Saccharomyces cerevisiae S288C: one gene and its partners. The gene in region 3 interacts genetically with the main gene of each other region. Each region holds a gene or a part of one and is shown on either strand. Other genes may lie near its edges.

Region 1 (4,763 bases), on a different chromosome or scaffold from region 3:
ATCAAGTTGTCATCTCATCGATGTAGGAATCTATTCTCTTGGCCATCCGGACGTCTATATCGCTAAGCTGGCTGTGAGCCCCGTCTTTCGGGTCTATGTCATGCGTATGAAGTTCCAGCTTGACCCAGGTGTAACTTGTGTGAATCAGGGGATGGTGGCCCCATAGATGAGATCTCATCGATACACGAGTCAAAAAGGCCCATGTGGTTTCGTAGTCCTTGAATGTTACCTCTCTTGTTATTCCCAAACATTTGGTCTTATTAGGGTCCCATTGAACTTCCCAACGGGTCAAGGGTTTTAGCTTCTCGAGTAGTTTGCCCCCTGTGAGTGCACTGGACGCGATTCTAACAATCTTGTTGTGCATTGTATTCTTACTTTGGTTTCTTTCTGCTTTTGGTAGGTTGTGTTTACTGTTTTATAACTGGAAGGGCTTAAATTCCAGATTGGAAAATTGAGAATGCCTTGGACAAAAAGCAAATAAAGGGACCCAAAAATAGTAAAGAGGAAATCAGGAAGGAAAGGCATGTCGTCAAGCCTTTTTATCCTGGATGAAAATCTGGAGCCATTGGTATCGAAGAATATTAGAGCACTACCGAATCTATCGTCGGTTCTTTCAAGTTTCAAACAATGTTATCATGACGGGTCGCCTCCAATTCTCTCCCAAAACGATTGGTTCTTTATACATTTGAAGAGAGACTTTCTGCATTTCGTTTCAGTGATACATACCACAGACAAACCAAATATAGACTTAATGACTATACTAGCCTTTTTGGAACAATTTTATCATCTTTTACAAAAATATTTTGAAATCGAGGTCTTAACTAAGAATGTCATACTGGACAACATCTTACTTGTCCTGGAGTTGATTGATGAATGTATAGACTTTGGTATCGTACAAGTGACGGATCCAAGTATCATCAAGGACTACATTCGTGTGAAGGTCAACGTACCAAGAGTTACAGTAGACAATGAGGAGTGGAGCCCTGGTGAAGAGAGCAGTAGTAGTAGCGGTAGCGATAGCGATAGCGAGTACAGCAATACTAATAAGAGGAAGGATAAGAAGAAGAAAAGGAAGAAGAAAAAGGGCACTAAAGGGAAAAGCGTGGGCAAAAGTAAATTAAAAAGTATAATGGTAAACAATAAAGAAAATAGGGGCATAAACGTGGTGGAAACTGTCAAGGAGACACTAAGGAACAAGAATGATACCGGTAAAGAAGCCGCTAATGACGAGCTCCCCAATGACGGTAATGATTTATACATCAATGGCGATATTGCGAAGACGATTATAATGCCCATATCATGGAGAACAAAGGGGATACATTACGCCAAAAACGAGTTCTTTCTTGATGTTATTGAACGTGTTCAGTACTTGATGGATTTTGAAAAAGGAGTGATTAGGAAAAATCTGATACATGGAGAGATTGTGTGCAGATGCTATTTATCAGGGATGCCCAAACTGAAAATATCCATAAACAAGATACTGAACAGGGACCCCCAGTTCATGTCGAATTCCAGCTTTCATCAGTGTGTTTCACTAGATTCCATAAACACTATTGAAAAAGATGAAGAAAAGAATAGTGACGATGATGCTGGTTTGCAGGCCGCCACAGATGCAAGAGAAATCGAATTTATACCGCCGGATGGCGAATTTGTTCTTTGCCAATACGAGTTGAAGAGACATGTAAAGGATGCGCCGATGGTGAGGTTGAAAGATTTTGAAATCAAACCTAAACTGAAGAAGTTTAAAATCCAAATTGTAACCAAAATTCAAACAAATTTTAAACCCACCAACTCAACGTCGAAGCTAAACGTGAGAATTCCCCTGACAAAAGTCTTCCAGGAATATAAAATAGACCTCAGCAAGCAAATTAGATTCAAGGCAAACATCGGCAAGGTCGTGTTTAACTTGAGTGACGATTTTCTCCTCTGGGAGATACAAACCATGAAGGGGCACCGAGAACATAGCACAAACAAGAGCTCACAGTACAACAGCGACGAAGATGATCCAAATACGTGTGCATCCATGGTGGCAGAGTTCCCCCTCTTCAACCAGGAAGAATATGACCGCCTGCAAGAAGAAATGAAAACCTCAATGAATCCGCCGCCCTTGCGCACGGGACCCAGGCTGGAAGAACTATATAGACAAGTGCACGACCAACAAACTTCCCACGTTACTCCTCGAGATAAGTTGGTCAACATTGATTTCGAGATTCCGTACTGTACATGCAGTGGCCTGAAAGTTGAGTACTTGAAGGTCGAAGAGCCACAATTGCAGTACCAGTCTTTCCCCTGGGTCAGATACAAGACCGTCAGCGACGAAGAGTACGCATATATTGTTTGACGCTTACGCAGACATCTCATAGATAGACAAATGGTACGTTCGTTTTAGTATATAGATGGCACCTTATAATCTTCATATGCAACCGGGTAAAATCGGGCGTTCTTATTTTTTTTTTTTCCACCTCAATGAGAGGGATTAATAAGAGGATTGGAGCAAGACAGCGATCTGCACTTAGCCAAGAAAGCATATCAGGCCAGAACGTGGCATTTTGTTTACAGTGCTGATTAAAGCGTGTGTATCAGGACAGTGTTTTTAACGAAGATACTAGTCATTGATGTCTGAAAATCAACGTTTAGGATTATCAGAGGAAGAGGTAGAAGCGGCTGAAGTACTTGGGGTGTTGAAACAATCATGCAGACAGAAGTCGCAGCCTTCAGAGGACGTCTCACAAGCTGACAAAATGCCGGCAAGTGAGTCGTCTACGACGCCGCTAAACATTTTGGATCGCGTAAGTAACAAAATTATCAGTAACGTAGTGACATTCTACGATGAAATAAACACCAACAAGAGGCCACTGAAATCAATAGGGAGGCTGCTAGACGATGACGATGACGAGCATGATGATTACGACTACAACGACGATGAGTTCTTCACCAACAAGAGACAGAAGCTGTCGCGGGCGATTGCCAAGGGGAAGGACAACTTGAAAGAGTACAAGCTGAACATGTCCATCGAGTCTAAGAAGAGGCTTGTAACGTGCTTGCATCTTTTAAAGCTGGCCAATAAGCAGCTTTCCGATAAAATCTCGTGTTTACAGGACCTTGTTGAAAAGGAGCAGGTGCATCCTTTGCACAAGCAAGATGGAAATGCTAGGACGACCACTGGAGCTGGCGAGGACGAGACATCGTCAGACGAAGACGACGACGATGAGGAGTTTTTTGATGCCTCAGAGCAGGTCAACGCCAGCGAGCAGTCTATTGTGGTGAAAATGGAGGTGGTCGGCACAGTCAAGAAAGTCTACTCGCTGATATCGAAGTTCACAGCAAATTCGCTGCCGGAGCCCGCAAGATCTCAGGTTCGGGAAAGTCTTCTAAACTTACCCACAAATTGGTTCGACAGCGTCCACAGTACATCACTGCCGCATCATGCTTCGTTTCATTATGCCAACTGTGAAGAACAAAAAGTGGAGCAACAGCAACAGCAACAGCAACAGCAGCAGCAGCAGCAACTTTTGCAGCAGCAACTCCTGCAACAGCAACAGCAAAAAAGGAACAAGGATGGCGACGACTCAGCCTCGCCGTCCTCCTCCGTAACTGCGAATGGGAAAGTACTCATTCTCGCCAAAGAATCCCTGGAAATGGTGAGAAATGTCATGGGCGTAGTCGACTCCACGTTGGGCAAGGCTGAAGAATGGGTGAAGCAGAAACAGGAGGTAAAAGAAATGATCAGGGAGCGTTTCTTGCAACAGCAGCAACAGTACAGGCAGCAACAGCAGAAGGATGGCAATTACGTAAAGCCCTCTCAGGACAACGTGGATAGCAAGGACTAACCGAGACAGATTGAGGTCTTTCATGCATTACCACCAGTAATAATATTATACGGAATAATATAGTTTATATAATATCCATAATCATAATCATAATCATAATCATAATCATAATCGTGATATTGTACCAGCCCCGCTTCTCCCCTTTTGAACTACCATTATTATCGGACCCTCTTTACCTTTGAATGGCTCAGTAAGGACCTTTGCGCAGCCGTAAGGGGGTCGGGAATACATTTCCGGGGTTGATCCTCGAGGAAAAGTGCTATCTATATAAGGAGAAGCCCTTCTAGATCCAAATATCAGGGGTAACTCTTCACAACTGGCCAGGAACATATTCCAAGTTAAAAAGAAAAAATAATTATTAGAAACCAATTACCAACACAAGATGCTAAGATCAAATTTATGCAGAGGATCTCGAATCCTTGCAAGACTGACCACTACACCAAGGACATACACATCTGCGGCGACAGCTGCGGCTGCGAATCGGGGACATATCATCAAAACATACTTCAATAGAGATTCTACGACAATTACGTTCTCCATGGAGGAGTCCAGCAAGCCGGTTTCCGTTTGCTTTAACAACGTTTTTCTTAGAGATGCCTCCCATAGTGCCAAGCTGGTGACCACGGGAGAACTGTATCATAACGAGAAATTGACCGCTCCTCAGGACATTCAAATTTCTGAGGACGGAAAATCTCTAGTGGTGAAATGGAAAGATGGCGGTCATCACCAGTTCCCTTTACAATTCTTTATCGACTATAAAGGTTCCAGTTTTGTTTCGCCAGCAACAAGAAAACAAGAATCCAGATATAGACCCCAGTTATGGAATAAGCGCATCCTGAAAGATAACGTCAAGGACTTACTTTCTGTGAGCTACAACGAGTTTATTGATCCTAAGGATGACTCCAAGCTTTTCCAAACGCTGGTCAACCTACA
Region 2 (7,458 bases), on a different chromosome or scaffold from region 3:
TACATAAGCAAAATATACCGGGGTAGTTAGTGCACGCGGGGAACTACCTCTTTCTTACCGGATCTTGCCGCATCCTTTTTTCTGTTCATTCTCAGAAAAAAGAGGCTTTTTTTCGTGAATACAGTCCGAAGAGCACTAGAATTTCGGACCGAAATTAGTAATATCTTCTGTACGAAAAAGGAAGACCCCTTTTCGTACAGAAGCCTTGGTCAATCAGAACAGGCAACGTTGTTTTTTCTACTCCGGAATTTTCTGAGCGAAGACAATCGGCCCTGAAGAGAGGATCAATCGTGGAAATCTACATCGTCCTCAAGAATTTCTAACGAGACTTCATGTCAAAATTTAACTTTTTTAGCTTTTTTTTAAGGTTGGCCCGCCAAAATCGTAAGTCTCGGTGCTCTGTTTAGGAAATAAAGAAGAGAAACGTCACCTAAAAAGTTTAAATTGAAGATGTCGTTCTATCTCGCGAATCTTAAATGAAAGACAGAGTGGGTTGATGACACTAGCGGACTTGTCATTAAATAACCCATGATATCTAGGCACATTAAGGTTAGCGTGGGGGGACGCGAATAATATAAGCATTACTCCAGTAAACTCACATAGAAAGAAGGAAATATTCTTTGTTCAAAGAGCAAAGGTGCCTGTAAAGATCCTCTTATTCATCAAAGCCTGGTCGAAGATTATTAGTTGTGCCAAGGCAATATCAGGTTTATTAATCTTTTAGGAAAAATGTAAGGTTGTTACGTCTCTTTCCGTCTCGCGGAAAAACATTTTTACTCAAGCCGTCCGTGGGATGATTTTTGGTGGTTATCATTTTCCAAGACTCCAGACAAAAGAACGTGCAGGCGCTTGGCAAAAAGAAAAAAAAAAAAAGCGAGAGGGAAAAGTGGCGCGGTGCCAATACTACCGGTACTTGTTCTTGAATAAGCTATCAGATGGTCAAAATAGGGCTAGAAGAAAAATGGTAAAATAAAGTAAAAAAAGGTAAAAGATAATTTTTGAAGAACTAAAAAATATGTAAATGAATATGTATTCTACGGGTAGTTTTCTGCCTTACAAAATTATGGCAGCGAAAACAGAATGGTGGAAGAAAGTAAAGAGGGTATCGAAATAATATCTTAATTTAAGAATGAAAACATCGTAATGAAGAAACGAACATGTTGGAATTGTATCATTAGAATACAACTGGAAGAGCGAGTAGCAACCACATAAAGTTTCCAAGAACCTTGATATTAGCAGCACCTTGGTAAGTACTCGAGATAGAAGGAACAGAGTATGTAGCGACTGCAGAACCAGAAGCAGATTGTAGTGGACCAGTTAGAGATGGAGATGTGACAACGGGAGCCACGCTAGAAGCAGAAGCTGTTGTAGCTAGTTGGGATGTAGTCTTGATTGAAATAGGGTTGGTTGCTGTGGCCACAGTTTCGTAATTCTTGGCACCATTTGAACCTGGAATCAAAGTGGTTATGTAAGTGGTTGGGATGGACTTGGTTGTGTAACCAGTTGTTGTTTCGCCAGCGGAGTTAGTACCAACAGATGACTCAGTGGTAATAACTGTGGTTGGAATAGCCGTCGTGACAGGGGTGGTAGCCGAAGGTGCAGTGTTTTCGCCTGCGCTTGCAGAACTTACGATAGTCTTAGCAGAGCATACAGATGTAGTTTCACCGGCAGCGTTTGTAGCAGCAGAACATTCAGTAGTGGTTATTGTAGTTGGTACGGCATTAGTGGCAGGAGTTACTGGTGCACTTGGAGCCAAAGTGGTTACATAGGTGGTTGGTACAGACTTTGTTGTGTAACCAGTTGTCGTCTTACCAGCGGAGTTAGTACCCGTAGAGGATTCAGTGGTAACAACGGTGGTTGTGACAGCTGTTGTAACAAGGGTGGTAGCTTCAGTAGTGTATTCGCCAGTACCAGTTGAACAAGGAACAGTGGTTGTGACAGTCTTTGGAGAGCATCCAGAGGTAGTTTCACCGGCAGAGTTTGTACCTGTAGAGCAAACCGTAGTAGTAATAGTGGTTGGGGTGAAATTGGTAACCGTAGTGACTGATGGAGTTGGAGCAATTGTGGTTAGGTAAGTGGTTGGAATGTTTTTGGTGACAAATGTAGTTGTAATTTCACCACCTGGTTTTGTACTAGTAGAATACTCAGTAGTAACGACGGTGGTTGAGACAACTGTAGTTACAGGTGTGGTAGGTGAAGTGGTTGTTGATTCCGAGGCGGTTTCGCTTGGACTGGTTGAACATGGAACAGTAGTTGTAATGGTCTTTGGAGAGCATCCAGAGGTAGTTTCACCGGCAGAGTTTGTTCCTGTAGAGCAAACTGTAGTAGTAATAGTGGTTGTTGATGATGTAGTGACAGAAGTCGTAGTTGTAGTTGGAACAGTAGTTGTAACGGTCTTTGGAGAGCATCCAGAGGTAGTTTCACCGGCAGAGTTTGTTCCTGTAGAGCAAACCGTAGTGGTAATAGTGGTTGTTGATGGTGTAGTGACAGAAGTCGTAGTTTTAGTTGGAACAATGGTAGTTTCGGTTGTAGAAGAAACAGAGGTTTCTGTTTGACTGCCAGGGTATTTGGATGATGATGGAGTGACAGTAGTGCCAGTAGAAAAGCTTTCAGTAGTAGAGCTGAATGGAATTGAAGATGGAGCGGAGGAAGTGATGTTGCTAGAGGAAGATGGGGTTGGTACTGGTGCTACAGAGCTTTCAGTGGTGGAGCTGGATACTGGAGCAGAAGAGCTTTCAGTAGTAGAGCTTGATGGGGTTGGTACTGGAACAGAAGAGCTTTCAGTGCTAGAGCTGAATGGGGTTGAAGATGGAGCGGAGGAAGTGATGTTGCTAGAGGAAGATGGGGTTGGTACTGGTGCTACAGAGCTTTCAGTAGTAGAGCTTGATGGGGTTGGTACTGGAGCAGAAGAGCTTTCGGTAGTAGAGCTGGATGGAGTTGGCACTGGAGCAGAAGAGCTTTCAGTAGTAGAGCTGGATGGAGTTGGTACTGGAGCAGAAGAGCTTTCAGTGGTAGAGCTGGTTACTGGAGCAGAAGAGCTTTCAGTAGTAGAGCTGGATGGAGTTGGTACTGGAGCAGAAGAGCTTTCAGTAGTAGAGCTGGATGGAGTTGGTACTGGAGCAGAAGAGCTTTCAGTAGTAGAGCTGGATGGAGTTGGTACTGGAGCAGAAGAGCTTTCAGTGGTAGAGCTGGTTACTGGAGCAGAAGAGCTTTCAGTGGTAGAGCTGGTTACTGGAGCAGAAGAGCTTTCAGTAGTAGAGCTGGATGGAGTTGGTACTGGAGCAGAAGAGCTTTCAGTAGTAGAGCTGGATGGGGTTGGTACTGGAGCAGAAGAGCTTTCAGTAGTAGAGCTGGATGGAGTTGGTACTGGAGCAGAAGAGCTTTCAGTGGTAGAGCTGGTTACTGGAGCAGAAGAGCTTTCAGTAGTAGAGCTTGATGGGGTTGGAGCTGGAGCAGAAGAGCTTTCAGTAGTAGAGCTTGATGGAGTTGGTACTGGAGCAGAAGAGCTTTCAGTAGTAGAGCTTGATGGAGTTGGCACTGGAGCAGAAGAGCTTTCAGTGGTGGAGCTGGTTACTGGAGTAGAAGAGCTTTCAGTAGTAGAGCTGGATGGAGTTGGTACTGGAGCAGAAGAGCTTTCAGTGGTAGAGCTGGTTACTGGAGCAGAAGAGCTTTCAGTGGTGGAGCTTGATGGGGTTGGAGCTGGAGCAGAAGAGCTTTCAGTAGTAGAGCTGGATGGAGTTGGTACTGGAGCAGAAGAGCTTTCAGTGGTAGAGCTGGTTACTGGAGCAGAAGAGCTTTCAGTAGTAGAGCTGGATGGAGTTGGTACTGGAGCAGAAGAGCTTTCAGTGGTAGAGCTGGTTACTGGAGCAGAAGAGCTTTCAGTAGTAGAGCTGGATGGAGTTGGTACTGGAGCAGAAGAGCTTTCAGTGGTAGAGCTGGTTACTGGAGCAGAAGAGCTTTCAGTGGTAGAGCTGGTTACTGGAGCAGAAGAGCTTTCAGTGGTAGAGCTGGTTACTGGAGCAGAAGAGCTTTCAGTGGTAGAGCTGGTTACTGGAGCAGAAGAGCTTTCAGTAGTAGAGCTGGATGGAGTTGGTACTGGAGCAGAAGAGCTTTCAGTGGTAGAGCTGGTTACTGGAGCAGAAGAGCTTTCAGTGGTAGAGCTGGTTACTGGAGCAGAAGAGCTTTCAGTAGTAGAGCTTGATGGGGTTGGTACTGGAGCAGAAGAGCTTTCAGTGGTAGAGCTGGTTACTGGAGCAGAAGAGCTTTCAGTAGTAGAGCTGGATGGAGTTGGTACTGGAGCAGAAGAACTTTCAGTAGTAGAGCTTGATGGGGTTGGTACTGGAGTAGTAGTCTTCTTAGTGCATGTCTTAGATGTGGTAGTTTTCTTCTTTGTACATGGAGTGGTGTCGTGATGAGGAGGTGTAGGCTTTTCCTTTGTGCATGAGGTAGTGGTTGGGGGTGTAGGCTTTTCCTTAGTGCATGAGGTAGTGGTTGGTGTAGCAGGAGCGGTGGTTGATGATGATGTAGATGACTCGGAAGTGCTAGATGTAGTGGTAGATGACTCGGAAGTGCTAGATGTAGTGGTAGATGACTCGGAAGTGCTAGATGTAGTGGTAGATGACTCGGAAGTGCTAGATGTAGTGGTAGATGACTTCGTACCGCCACAATTATTGTCACAATCTATGTTCCAATAGAAGCCTGGGAAATCCGTTTGAGAGTGGCCTTGATTGTCATAGTTGTTACAACCAGTAGACAAATCAAAAGATGTAGTTCCCCATTGCCAGGAGCTTGCATATTGAGCGGCACTACCTTGCAAATACTCGAATTGAATTTGGAAGTTAGGCATCCACACCTGACAGCTGTTGACATCTTGTGTGGCATAAACTTCAAAAGTGGCTGTGAAATCAGTTGGGTTGTCAATCAAATAGGTATTTTCGTTGTAACCGTATAGTTGGACGGTACCTTTTGGACCAGTGACACCAATGATTTTCAAAGACCATAGATACTTCAGGTCAATATTTTCTTTACCTTTGACATGAATAGTGATTTGGTATGTGTTGTCTTGAACCCAAGAAACGGAAGTCACATCCAAAGTATACTGCATGATATTTTGCTGGTCCATGTGCCAATTGAAGTCTAAGTTGGGACAGCCATTAACGATAGAATTACAGCTAGTTCCTTCGGAGGATCCTCTTGGAACTAGTGCAGTTGGAAAACCCAAAGCCGAGTTAAATAGAAGCGAAAGGACCAAATAAGCGAGTAGAAATGGTCTTTGCATAGTGTGCGTATATGGATTTTTGAGGCCTACAAAAGTATATTTTAATTAGAACCACAACATGACGAGGGATAATAACTGATGAATAGGGTGCTTTTTATACGTTTATTTTAGGAAGCAAGAGATCCTTTTTATCAATTGGGAACCCTTCAACAATTTGTACTGGTAAGTCTATGAGTTATCCGTTCTTGAACTAGAAGAGAGCGCAGTAACGTAAATGCTTGAACATATTTGTTAAGGTAAATAAAACTGCCCTAATTTTTTATTTAATTCGAACACGGACATTCCTCAGATAAGACAAGTCTAACAGTTAATTCAAAGTAGAAAGAGCTTAATTTCTCCGTAAAAGAACGAAGTATATTGCGATGATGCCTTGAATCCCAATTGGTAACTCTATGACATTTTTGTAAAGGTTACCTCATCAGAAGAGAACGGACCTAAAAAGATGACCCACATTTCTCTAGAAACAATCGTACCCTAATAGTTGCTTTAAATTGCTCAGCGGTCAAGAAAACGTATCATAATGTTATTCTATTCTTGAGCAGGCACTTTTAGGGTTGGGCAATGTCCTCAAAGTAAATATTAGTAAACAAACGAATACCTCCAAATCCATTGAATTGAAAATCCATTCCAAGCTCTGCGCTTCCAATTGTTAATCACACCACCGATAGGCAATAGAAGTTCTGTCCGTGAAGATACCGCAGAATGAGTTGTGCCCGTATTGTTGCACCTAATTACGGAATCCCAAGGTATGCGATGTCCCAGTACGACCGTTAAAAAGACAACATGAATGACTGATCTGTTTAAGAGTATAGGCAGAAATAAAAAAGTTTGTGCAATGCCTGACAAAAAAAAGCTAATTTTTCTTTTAAGAAAGAATGTCATTCTTTTACCGCAAAGTTAATTTCTGCCTACAATCACCTTCTAAACGCTCGGACTGATTGCCTTGAGCAATCAGCAGTTCTTTGAAGCCACTGTCGCAACAAAGAAAAAGAAAAGGGAAGTCCATTCTTAGCCCCAAAGAAAAGGATGACAAAAAAAAGAAAAAAAGTTAACTCGTACCAGTAAAGCCTAATTTTGCAGTGATCGCTAGCCCCAGAGAAGGACTAAAGACAAAAAGGACCCACTCGATAGGAAAATAACGGCCGAAACTCTTTGGGCGACATTTTCTTGTTAAGAAAACAGAAGAAAAAAACCTTAATTTGAACTTTCCAGGCACACCCAAAAAGGATTATGCTTATGTAATGCCACATTCCGAGAAACTGAAAGGCAAAAAAGAAAAAGCCTTTTTTTTCCTGCCGCGAAAGTTTAATTTGCCTACCGGCGTTCCTATTGGAGTCAGGAAAAGATCACTAGGAATTACAGCTGTGAGAACATACTCTGGGGCTGGCGTAGGCACACAATCCGGTATTCCTAAAGTTTTGTGGTACAAAACTCCATACCTAAAACATAAAACAAATCTCACCCGTGGATCCTTTTATTCATAATACCCCGTCCTGCACGCCGTGGAACTGAGTCTAAGTTGACAAGGCTACGAATGAATTTTGGGAAATGCATACGAAGAGGACTGAAAAAGTAGCAGGTTTCATGTGGTGGAAATACCGATTAGCGCATTCACATTCGTGTTAGGGTCCGTTTTCCCGCACAGCTTTCGAAATATGAAACAATGTCCGTCTGCGTCAGCAGCTCAGATAAGGAAAAAAGAGATGGTAAAAAACATTCGAGAAAAACAAGTACTGCAGGTGCATGTCCTCAATGCATGCAAGTGACCGTTTTGGGGTGGTGAGAACCATCACTAATTAAACTTTTCCTATTTTTTGTCTTTACAATATTCATTAGTCTTCATTCGCATTGGGTGTTCTACAGAAATGCTGGGCAAATCTGGAGATGGGTTGATACGCTAGCGTTCCTACTTGTAAGGGAGCAAAGATGTTAGATTTTTCTGTTTTGGAATTTTAGCTTTCTGTCCACCTTAGGTGTATGGCTCGGCTCTCGATGAGAATAGGAAAGTATTCCGCACTAACCGATGGGGGGTTGTTCTTACCGTAAAACCACACTTGAAAGCTATACGTAGTTGGAACCCCAAAACGACGGTATGAAATGAGGGATACATTAGGGGACAAAAAGGACTAGTAATTTCTTTGAAATTTGTAATAATAATTCGAAAAGTTGAGCATCCTTAA
Region 3 (5,962 bases):
CATGCATGGTGCAACAACTACAGAATAGGAGCACAACTTGAAGGCGTCCATAAAGAATAAGGTGTCTTTTTGTGATGGTTGTTTAATAGCAAACATACATATATACTTATAGAATTATTGTACAGGAAGTTTATCGAAAGGTGCATTTTTCTGTTTATGAGACAATACCCCGTAGCTATTCTGTGATATACTAGAAAGAACGGGCGGTATTATGATACGAATTGAAGGGAGGTAGGGGAAAGGAAGGTGGAAATGAAAGTGGAAAATACAATTTAGTGTGATGAAAACTTAATAAAACAACTACCGGAGTTGGTAAAAATATAGTTATAATCACAAGGATCAGGAGGAAAAGAAAAAAAAGTGAATAAAATAAATAACAATGATTACCCGTTGGGATACCTAAAATGAAATGAAACAAAAGTAATTGAAACAAAAGTAATTGGAACAAAGGTAATAAACATACAGTGAGGTGCTTTGAACTTTTAGACAACTAGAGATTAAAAAGGCAAAGATCACATCTTAACCTTTTTGAGTGCCGGAGCGGCCTTATCTTCAGTTTTAGGATCAGCACTGGACGTGCTGCTATCCTCTTGATTCAGTAAAGAATAAACACCGCTCCCTTTTCTCTTACTATTGTCAGCCTCGCCAGTATTCTTAGTGGTGCTCGTTGTGGGCAAAGATGGCTGCGGTAGTTCTATTTGTGGTGCAGGTTCTGCTTGTGATAGGCTTGAGCTGTGCTCGACGTTCATGGGGGAGTTTATTAAATTTGAAGAAACAGCAGGAAGATTGTCCATGTTTTTTGGAGGAGGGCCCGTCAAGACAGACGAGTCTAATGGAGTTACCGAATCTGGAGCACAATTAGCAGCTTTGTTTAATGAGCGAAGCAATCCCTGCTGAGAGTACCGAATTGGGGCTGGATTGTTGGCAACTAGTGTAAAAGAGGAGGATAAAGACGTGCCCGAAATACTGGATTTGAGAGAGTTTCTAGGTTTGGGATACAGACTATCTTCATTCAACGATGATCTCGGTGTCAGCTTCAGAGGACTGTTTCTTCTATCGTTGGGCAAAGAGCTTGTAGACCCGAGACTTCTCATTTTTGGTTGAGAATACAATCTCGTTGTTGGTTCATTAATAGGATATATTGGACTCGGAGCCATATTTTGAGGGACAGGCTTGTTGTAGTCACGGACAGAAGGATTAATATTCATGATAGGATAGTTTAGTGGACCCTGAACTCCAACACTCGCTGCGGGAGTCAGCGGGTCCATGAGAACACTATTGGTCCTCTTCGTGTTGCCCGGTTTGTTGTTATTTTTCGAGGCAAAAGGATTGTGCATCATTTGTGGAGTGCTAAAAGTGTCTGCATATTGTGGAGGTAGTTGTTGGATGGGTATCGGCTGATTGATAAAGTTTGGTACATGTGCCGGTTGCTTCGCATAAGTCACATGTTGTTGCGACTGCGGTTGGTATTGTACAAAAAGTTGCGAGGGCGGCACTGAAGCCGTGTTGAATCTCGAAGGGATGTTCGTGGTCGAGGAAGATTTCTGCGGGACATACTGGTTCCCTGGAGGAACCATCATCTCATACTGAGATTTGGGTGCATATGCAGATGTGGATGTGGGCGCGGGTGCAGGGGCGACAGAGGCAGCGGTAGCGGCAGCATTTACAGCACAAAGAGAATCTATTGTACGGTGGGCCCTCGACATGACGTGCTGTTTGAAAGTTAACATATCGCTTTCGAATGCCTGAAGTTGCTTTTGGTGATCCTTCACGATATTTTCCGATTTTTTCTTGCTCACATTCTTGAAGGTGAAACTCTGTGAACAAAAACTGTGTTGCAAAGATATGAAATGCTGCATAGACTCTATAATCTTAACCATATCAAAATTTATTTCTTTCAAATGTTTCAGTGTTTCATCTTGAAAGTTCGGAGGTCTGTTTTGCTCTTGCATTTCCGGGTTATTGGATTCCAGCGGGGCATGGTTTGCGTTTTCGTAAGTTACATGAGAGTTATTAAAGTACTCGGGGATAGAGTTATTGGCGCCCGGAATTTGCGGAACGAAATTACCAAAGGAATTGGAACTGGTGGACGGGTCTTGAATCGAAGAGGGTCTTACTCTTGCACCGGAATCTATATCGTAGTTTTGATTACTAGAATTCTTTCGACTGTTAATTGAGGAGTTATTACGGGAAGAAGCTCTTCTCTTAATGTGTTTGAGTCCCTCAATGTCACCTTTCTTGAAAATACCAGAACTATGCTTAAATTCCCAGATTTTAGTGGGGTTACTTTTCTCCTTTTCTTGGACACCGCCACCGGTATTTTCGTCGCCACTACTGTTTTTGTTGCCACTATTATCATCGTGAGTATTGCTGTCATCATTAGTATTGGCGTCGTCGCCACTATTAGCGTCGTTGCTGCTATGATCATGCGACACCTTGTGAAAGCCGTAAATGTTCAACTGTCTTACAAAGCTCGTGATATTAGTATGCTTGAAATATGTAGCCAAAGCCTTACTAAACCGTTCCACAGGCTTAATCATGAAGGATAAGCCCGAAGGGGTCCACCATATCAAGTCGTGTAGCGATTCGTCCTCCAGAATCTGGTATAGCTTATGGATGAATATCGCATTTTGTGGCGGCCTGGGCCCCACTAGCATCTTCGACCCATGTTTCTTAACATCCTCGGCACCGTCGCCGCCTTCAGCACCAGCATTAGCTATTCCAGCTGCTGCTCCACCACTACCTACATCGGTTCCAGCCGGGGCCGGTGTAGAAGCTGGAGCTGGGGCTGAGACCGTTTCCTCTTCACTCATGATTTTTTCTTCTTTTTTTCTATATAACTGATTTGTGCTGTCTTAGGACCCTCTGAATGTACCAAATAGTGTCGAATTACAATATTCTTTGTTATGTATATAGAGCTGAGTGCTTTGTGTGCGTATGCGTATGTGTGTGTGTGTGAATTTTTTCCTTGAACCTGTCACTGTGGCGATGAAGGTTCACTATGTTCTTTTTTCCCTGCTTTTCAAACTATCTTTGAAACTTTCCACTTCACACCAGTACGACTTCTTTGAAAAATTCGTAAGTCGAATAAATAATATTATTTCGCCGTGCGTTTGTGTTTCTGTTTCAACAACCCTTTGTGTGCACCTGTATAGAGTGTTTAAAAAGAGATCCTTCTTGCTAGCTGAAAAAGTTTATGTCGAATAAAAACGTCTTTTCATGTACTGAACATCTGTTTTTCCGGCGGAGATGCAGCGATGGATGCGCTTGCTGCCAAGGCATCTGTGCCGGGCGGGTGATGTCCGGGCGACCCGGCACGGAAGTAAAAGATACTATTGTTGAAAGGTACTTCTCACTACAAGGCTTAAGGACCTGTCGGAGTAGAGGAAAGAAGAGAAGAAGCCGGAAAAGGAGAGTCGTCACCTGTAAAAGGAATCTTAAGTAATTGATTTTTGTTAAGTAAGCTACGATGATGGATAATCAGGCTGTAAAGTCACTGCTAGAAATGGGTATTCCACACGAAGTAGCTGTGGACGCCCTCCAAAGAACTGGCGGTAATTTGGAGGCAGCAGTTAACTTCATCTTTTCGAACGAGCTGCCGGAGCAAGCGGAAATGGGTGAGGAGAATGATGGCAGTCAGCCTAGGATTTCTGAGAACAAAATAGTGGCTGGAACCAAGCCCTGCGATGTTCCGAACAACGGGGACCAAGACATTGATATGCCGGATGTGAGTGGTGTCGATGTTGATTATGATGACGATGAAGACATCACGGATGAACGCAGCGGTTCTAATAGCACCAGCGGATGCAGGGTTACTGCTCAGAACTACGATCGTTATTCTATATCGGAGACATCCATTCCTCCCCCCTCTTATAGTATAGTACAACACAACGAGTTCAAGTCGAACGTGGGCGATCCTACGGTTGTGTTGCCGCTACCCTTGAATAGTCTAATTGAGAGCTATTTTGGGCTGTTTGCGTTGCTCACGGCCGTGTATTTCCCACACGTGTTCTTGAAACCGGACTTTAAGGATTTGAACTATAGGGCAGACTGGTTCAAGGGCTCATCGTTTACGGAGCCCAAATACAGACTTGCATATTGCGAGGCAGAAGATGGTTCCACTACGTCGGAGATCGTGCTGGCCAGCGGACCTAATGAAGGGTTGCAACCGCATCTGCTCTGGCAGTTGCAAAAACTCATCTCCGTGGTTAACACGCGAAAGTGTGAAAGAGCCTTTGTTTCGGCCAAGGTGTTTACGTCGTCCTTGGAACCGCAATTGAGGTCCAAGCTGGCCGATTCCGAGCATCTTTATGAGGTGCTCCCAGCGTTTATCAAATCATTGGCAGTGGATTTGGAAATGTGTCCTGGGATCAGAGACCGGGAAACAAGAAGTCTCTTTATATCTTCTGCTTTGCATACTCCGAACAAGAATGAACCTCCAATGGAGACGTTTTTGTCCTTGTTTCATTTTCTTCCTGAAGAGTACGATTCTAATCTATATAAAATGTTCAACGTTTTATTGTACCCCGAAGAAGAGGAAGAAGAAGAAGACGTGATTCGTGGTGGCGAGCAAGAAGAGGCGAGATATGTGGAACCGGAGAATACTTTGAAGGAGGTGGCACCCGTATTAACAATCCTGTTCAATGAACTAGAAACAAATACAGAATCAGTGTCTCTACCCAATGGCGTGGATATACCGCTTGAGTTTTACCCACAGCTTTACACCAAACAGTGCAAAGACCAACTAATAAGACATATTATTTCTAAACGAAAGCAAGCGCGGACCAGATCCAGATGCTTGCTTCAAGAGATCAACGAGTTAAAGAGTTACCAAGGCAAAAACATATCCACTATTCTAGAGTCGACGCTGGCGTATCTACAAACAATTCCTGACGATGCTAATAATGAAGCAGCAAAGCAGATCGCATCGTTGAAAGATACATTAAATTCTGCGAGAGCCGCTAAAATGGAGGAATATAAGGACTTGGCGTCCAAACTGCATGGAGAATGGAACCTTTCACATCCAGAGACACACATAATCAACACTGCAAAGCAATTGGGACTGATCGAAAATCCCTACATCCTCACAATGGCAGCACTATCGCCATATTCATACTTTATCAGAAGCAGAAACGGTGCATGGTCATGGATACAAAGTAATACGTTGGGAACAGAATTCAAGGTGAAAAAATGTTCGTCGCCTTCTGTCGTTCAAGAAGCCATCAAGCATGGCACGAAGTACGCAAGTGAAACTCCGCTGATGTTCATATACTGTGAAGAGGGTAAAATTCCCACGGAAGAAGTAGTCGCGGAAGCGTTGAAAAGCAATAGCGGGTGCTTAAAATTTGCTGAGGATGACCAAAATTCATTAAAAACATTGCGTTCGCAATTTTTCGATGGTATGGGAGATCCTGAACAAGCCACCAACAATATTAACAATGGTAACGATAATGACAATGACGATGACATCGATTCTGATAATTAGATAGATTTCTATACACTTTCCGCCAGATAAATAACGTATGTCTCTTTAAACTATGATCTCATTTTCTCTAGTAATTTTGAACCGCATATATGTTACTAGTTTACGTTTTCAATACTATAGAAACTCCGCTTGGAGGCTAACTGCGCCCGCAATCCGAAAACTTCTATTTACGGACATAAATTAGACTCTAAGGATCAAACAAAAATAAAAAGGTTGACAGATAAAGGACAGTTTTAATTTTTATACTTTTGATCTGAAATAATGCCAAGTCCTAAACTTATTATAATATAGCCTCGAACACAAGATCATTGAGTTGCTTTTTCTAACTTCTCCTTTCTTTATTTTACTTTAGCCGCAACAATACCCCTTCTATTTTAATTCTGACTTCAATTCATTTCAACTTTACGACCTTTTTTTTCAATTTCGGTTCTGCAGTACTCTTCATTTGTCGATTAATTCGAGGTTTTCATTATTTCT
Region 4 (4,397 bases), on a different chromosome or scaffold from region 3:
GTATGAACAATAGCAATAATAATAATATCAACAGTAATGGCAACGACAAGAACAATAACAACTCTTCTAGACAAGAACATCAAGGAAATGGACTATTTGACATGTTTACAGATTCATCGTCGATTTCAACGCTTTCCCGTGCAAACTTATTATTGCAAGAAAAAATTGGTTCGCAAGAAAACTCTGTCAAACAAGAAAACTATTCGAAAAATCCTCAACTTCGTCATCAATTAACTTCCAGAAGTAGATCATTTATTCATCATCCGGCAAACGAGTATTTGAAGAATACTTTTGGAAATTCACATAGTAATGACATCGGAAAGGGAGTTGAAGTGCTATCTTTGACACCGAGTTTTATGGATATTCCCGAAAAAGAAAGAGAAACGGAAAGATCGCCATCATCCAATTACATTACTGACAGACCTTTCACTCGAAAACCTAGATCTTCTAGCATTGACGTAAACCATAGGTATCCACCTATGGCACCAACAACCGTAGCGACATCTCCCGGTGCATTGAACAATGCCGTAGCAAGCAATCTCGACGATCAACTGAGTTTAACATCACTAAACTCTCAGCCATCATCGATAGCAAATATGATGATGGACCCTTCAAACCTAGCTGAGCAAAGTTCTATTCATTCAGTTCCTCAGTCAATAAACTCTCCGAGAATGCCTAAAACTGGAAGTCGCCAAGACAAGAACATTCACACTAAGAAGGAAGAAAGAAATCCGCTAAATAACATACACGATCTGTCACAATTGGAAAATGTACCAGACGAGATGAACCAAATGTTCTCCCCACCATTAAAAAGTATGAATAGACCGGATGCCATAAGGGAAAATTCATCTAGTAGTAATTTCATAATCCAAGGAAATAGCATGATCTCTACGCCTTCCGGAAGGAATGACCTTCCAGATACCTCTCCAATGAGTAGTATTCAAACAGCGTCACCACCAAGTCAATTACTGACCGATCAAGGATTTGCGGATTTGGATAATTTCATGTCTTCGTTATGATAAATTTGCTTTTCGTCTCTTGCTTCTCTGTAACTGTAGTTTTCCTCCTCCCACATATATATATATATATACACTTTTATACACCTAATAATATCATCGGCATTATGATTGCTTATACATTTTCATAATCAATATTACTGTTCACCATTTGAATCACTGCAGAAATATGCACTGCGCCTTCTTTTTCTTTGCCTGAAGCACCCACACACAAGAACAGGAATGTGAATGGCCTCCCCATCTCACTTTTACTTAATAGTATTCTGACAATATAAGGTATCAGAGAGTAAGACCATTATTAGGCAAACAATAATCTTCAGAATTTTTAGTAGCGCATTCTCAACCTTTCTAGGTGCGTTTTTCTAATGAAATAGTATCGTTTTCCTTCCGCATTCCTTGCGTAGTTTGTTGTGTAAATATAGCAATAAGAAACCCTATAAATCATTATGATGTAACTCCCGATTCTTTTAAATAATTACATAAACTAGGAAGGCAAGTCCGAACACGCAGAGATGAGGTATTTGCACTCAATGACAAATCTAGGTTTAAACTACGGGGCTCCATACCTTATCTCTTCACTTATCAAAAGTAGGCAAAAGAAAAGAAAATAAATATAATTTCTTTTTCTGCAGGCAAGATTTTAAAAGAACTTGCGCGTCCTCTGTGCAATCTACCTGGGGAGTCTCGGGCTTTAACCGCTCCCCATTCTAAACTGCTTCCATTGACGTGTACTATACTGCTCACTTCTTGCTCTTCGAGCAACAAAATCTGTATTACGTTTCTTACACTAGTCGAGTGAAAGAGATAAGATACCCACTTTTACTTGCCGGGAGAATGGAAAAGAGAAAACGGAAGAAAGGGCTTAAATACATTTTCCTTTAATATGAACATCCTACTGTAAGATAAAAATTGGATGCTGATAATGGAAAGGAGACATGTACGGTATGTACGGCAAAACCTCGGCGGGTTTTCGCCGCTAGCTCATATATTCTTTCGTTAAATTTTAAAATTTCTTATTCTAAATCTTCTTTACATGTTTGGAAAGAATTTATTGGAGAGAAAAATCTAGACCTGCCAAGCCGATAAACGAATGCCTGCGAAGAAATAGTGTAAATATTACTCCTGAAGGTAGAGTCATCTAGGCGGAGACGAAAACAAAGTTTAGCTTTTCGTGAAATTGCCCATTTCATGTTTATCAACCACCAAAGGTTAAATGGAGGTTTGACAAAAGAAATTTTCTTGCTAAAGGTTAGCATTTTTTTTGGAATTTTTTTTCCTTCGACTGGCTGTAGTTGTCCTTCTATATTACGTACAACAAAAACTTTCTTGAATGAAGAATTAGTTCTATCATATAGACCATAAGAAAGAAAACGCACTTGGATAATTTTTAACAAAGAAGAGGGCAAACTGACGCTCACCAAGCTATTGGTTTGTTTGGATCAATCGTCAGATATGAAGCCGAACAATCGAACTTGTGATGTAATTACCAACAAAGATGAATCTCTTCCTGCACTTTTGCTGCCTGCACTGAACAGTTACACCTGTGACGATTCATTGCTAAAAGGACAAATTTCAAGCAATGGCAGATATCAACCATTCGGGTTTTCTGATTGCTCTTTACTGCCAAAGCGTTTAAACATTCAGGCAGGGCAAGGATCTATGCCAGTTTCTTCGATTCAATGTGCAGACCACAGTTATAGTAATTGGCAAAAAGAATCCGAAAAGACTAAGCTTCCCAAGCTTGGTTGCCCAACAGAGTACACTGAATACTATAAAACTGTTTCTTCCGGCGAAACAACCGATTCAGCGGTTGTTTCATCTATAGCAACGAACAGACTCAAAAGAAAACGTCAGAGGGACGGCCCAAGTTGTGACTCTTGTAGGATAAAGAAAATAAAATGCAATGCAACAATCATTATCTTTTTACAGGATAGGAACCTAATTTCATCAATTTCTTCAAATTTGCATTATACACTTTCCCAAGACGACATAAACCAGTTTCGAATGAAGTTTTTCAGGAAACTGCCTGACGTGATGGGCACATATGAAGTCATAAAACACCTTGATAAAATAGTCCTTTTCAAAGCCTGCACCTCTTGCAGTAGAAGAAACCAAAAAAATGGAAAGTGTCTTTTTTCGAGAGGATTTACAAAATCTGATATGAACGTATTTCCCAAGATAAATAGTAAACTTAAAGACAAAAGTATCTTCGAGATGACTGTCGATGATTATGTTGCCGCTGGCTTCCAAACCCTTTAGGTTTCATGCATGTAATTTCCTCCTATGTAAAATATAGGAATATTAATAAAACGCACCAATAATAAGTTAGATATTTTTCTGCAAGATATAAATTTGTTTACTCATACATATATATTCTATTGCGGGGCGCTCTTGTATAAGTAATTCAATAAAAAACCTCTATATGATACAATTGACCAAGCCTTCATTTACCATTCTATATCAATTTGGAAAGAAGGGTATTTCTCTATTTGGGCTCTACATTATAACGCAATCTTATACCCATTGCGGATAGCTCAGAGTCCAAGTACTTCAACACAAATGGTATGGCCACCGTAGTTGTTTCATTACCACCAACAAATTTGTTACCTTGTCCATCTTCCCAAATTTGAGAGTCGTCAATAAAAATTTTCTCTCCATCTTCTGATTTAGTCAATAGCTTCTTTGCATCTTCGAATCTCATGGAACAACGACGGCAACAAACGGTGGAAATCGAACCAATTCTTGGCACACTCTGTTGCGTGGTCAAAATAGAACCACACTCGCGACATACGGATGCCTGTGTGTAGTCTGATGAATTTAGCAGACGATCTTGTAATAGAAAAGATGTACCATGCCCAATCAAAGCATCTCTTTCCATTTCACCGACACGAATACCACCATGTCTCTTTCTACCTTTGACAGGCTGCATAGTCAAACTATTCACAGGACCAGTGGAACGAACTTGGAACTTGTCATTGACCATATGACGTAATCTTTGGTAGTAGACAACACCAACATAAATATCTGCCCTTAATTCTTCACCAGTAGCACCTGAGTACATTGGCTCATTACCATGGTAGTTGTAACCCGCCTTCGCTAGTTGCTCACCAAAGTAATCGGCTGGGGTATCGTCCTCGTTAAAGATCCAAGGTGTAGAGTCCTGTGCAATACCATGCAATGCCCCCGCTTTACCTGCTAAAGATTCGACGAACATACCAATGGTCATACGCGAAGGGAAAGCATGAGGGTTAATGATGATGTCTGGTTGGATACCTGTTTCGCTAAAAGGCATATCAATGGTTGGCCATTTTCTTGAACAAACACCTTTTTGACCGTGTCTAGAAGAAAATTTATCACCAATTTGAGGCGTTCTTCTAATAC

What was found.
Region 1: mutations in SFL1 (region 3) and OPI1 together harm fitness more than expected from each alone (negative genetic interaction), as found in Saccharomyces cerevisiae (3 studies listed by BioGRID).
Region 2: of SFL1 (region 3) and FLO11, changing one suppresses a phenotype caused by changing the other (phenotypic suppression), as found in Saccharomyces cerevisiae (2 studies listed by BioGRID).
Region 4: mutations in SFL1 (region 3) and SUT2 together harm fitness more than expected from each alone (negative genetic interaction), as found in Saccharomyces cerevisiae (2 studies listed by BioGRID).

What each region holds. Positions count from the first base shown.
Region 1 is NC_001140.6:65,309-70,071, reverse strand, and holds OPI1 (transcriptional regulator OPI1), read left to right. Parts: upstream 1-2,615; coding exon 2,616-3,830; downstream 3,831-4,763. Other genes in the region: MCO14 (4a-hydroxytetrahydrobiopterin dehydratase), read right to left, coding at 2-364; APM2 (Apm2p), read left to right, coding at 524-2,341; AIM17 (Aim17p), read left to right, coding at 4,213-4,763. UniProt on the Saccharomyces cerevisiae protein: Negative regulator of the transcriptional complex INO2-INO4 in response to phospholipid precursor availability.
Region 2 is NC_001141.2:388,398-395,855, forward strand, and holds FLO11 (Flo11p), read right to left. Parts: upstream 5,279-7,458; coding exon 1,175-5,278; downstream 1-1,174. Other genes in the region: YIR020C (uncharacterized protein), read right to left, coding at 5,858-6,160. UniProt on the Saccharomyces cerevisiae protein: Homophilic binding protein that enables kin discrimination in heterogeneous yeast populations by mediating homotypic cell-cell interactions during flocculation, a reversible and asexual process in which cells adhere to form aggregates (flocs).
Region 3 is NC_001147.6:583,832-589,793, reverse strand, and holds SFL1 (Sfl1p), read right to left. Parts: upstream 2,814-5,962; coding exon 513-2,813; downstream 1-512. Other genes in the region: RUP1 (Rup1p), read left to right, coding at 3,470-5,485. UniProt on the Saccharomyces cerevisiae protein: Involved in cell surface assembly and regulation of the gene related to flocculation (asexual cell aggregation). Mutations in SFL1 causes constitutive cell aggregation.
Region 4 is NC_001148.4:574,084-578,480, forward strand, and holds SUT2 (Sut2p), read left to right. Parts: upstream 1-2,468; coding exon 2,469-3,275; downstream 3,276-4,397. Other genes in the region: HAA1 (Haa1p), read left to right, coding at 1-1,019; DNA-directed RNA polymerase I core subunit RPA135, read right to left, coding at 3,502-4,397. UniProt on the Saccharomyces cerevisiae protein: Putative transcription factor involved in the regulation of the activity of the cAMP/protein kinase A pathway. Involved in sterol uptake.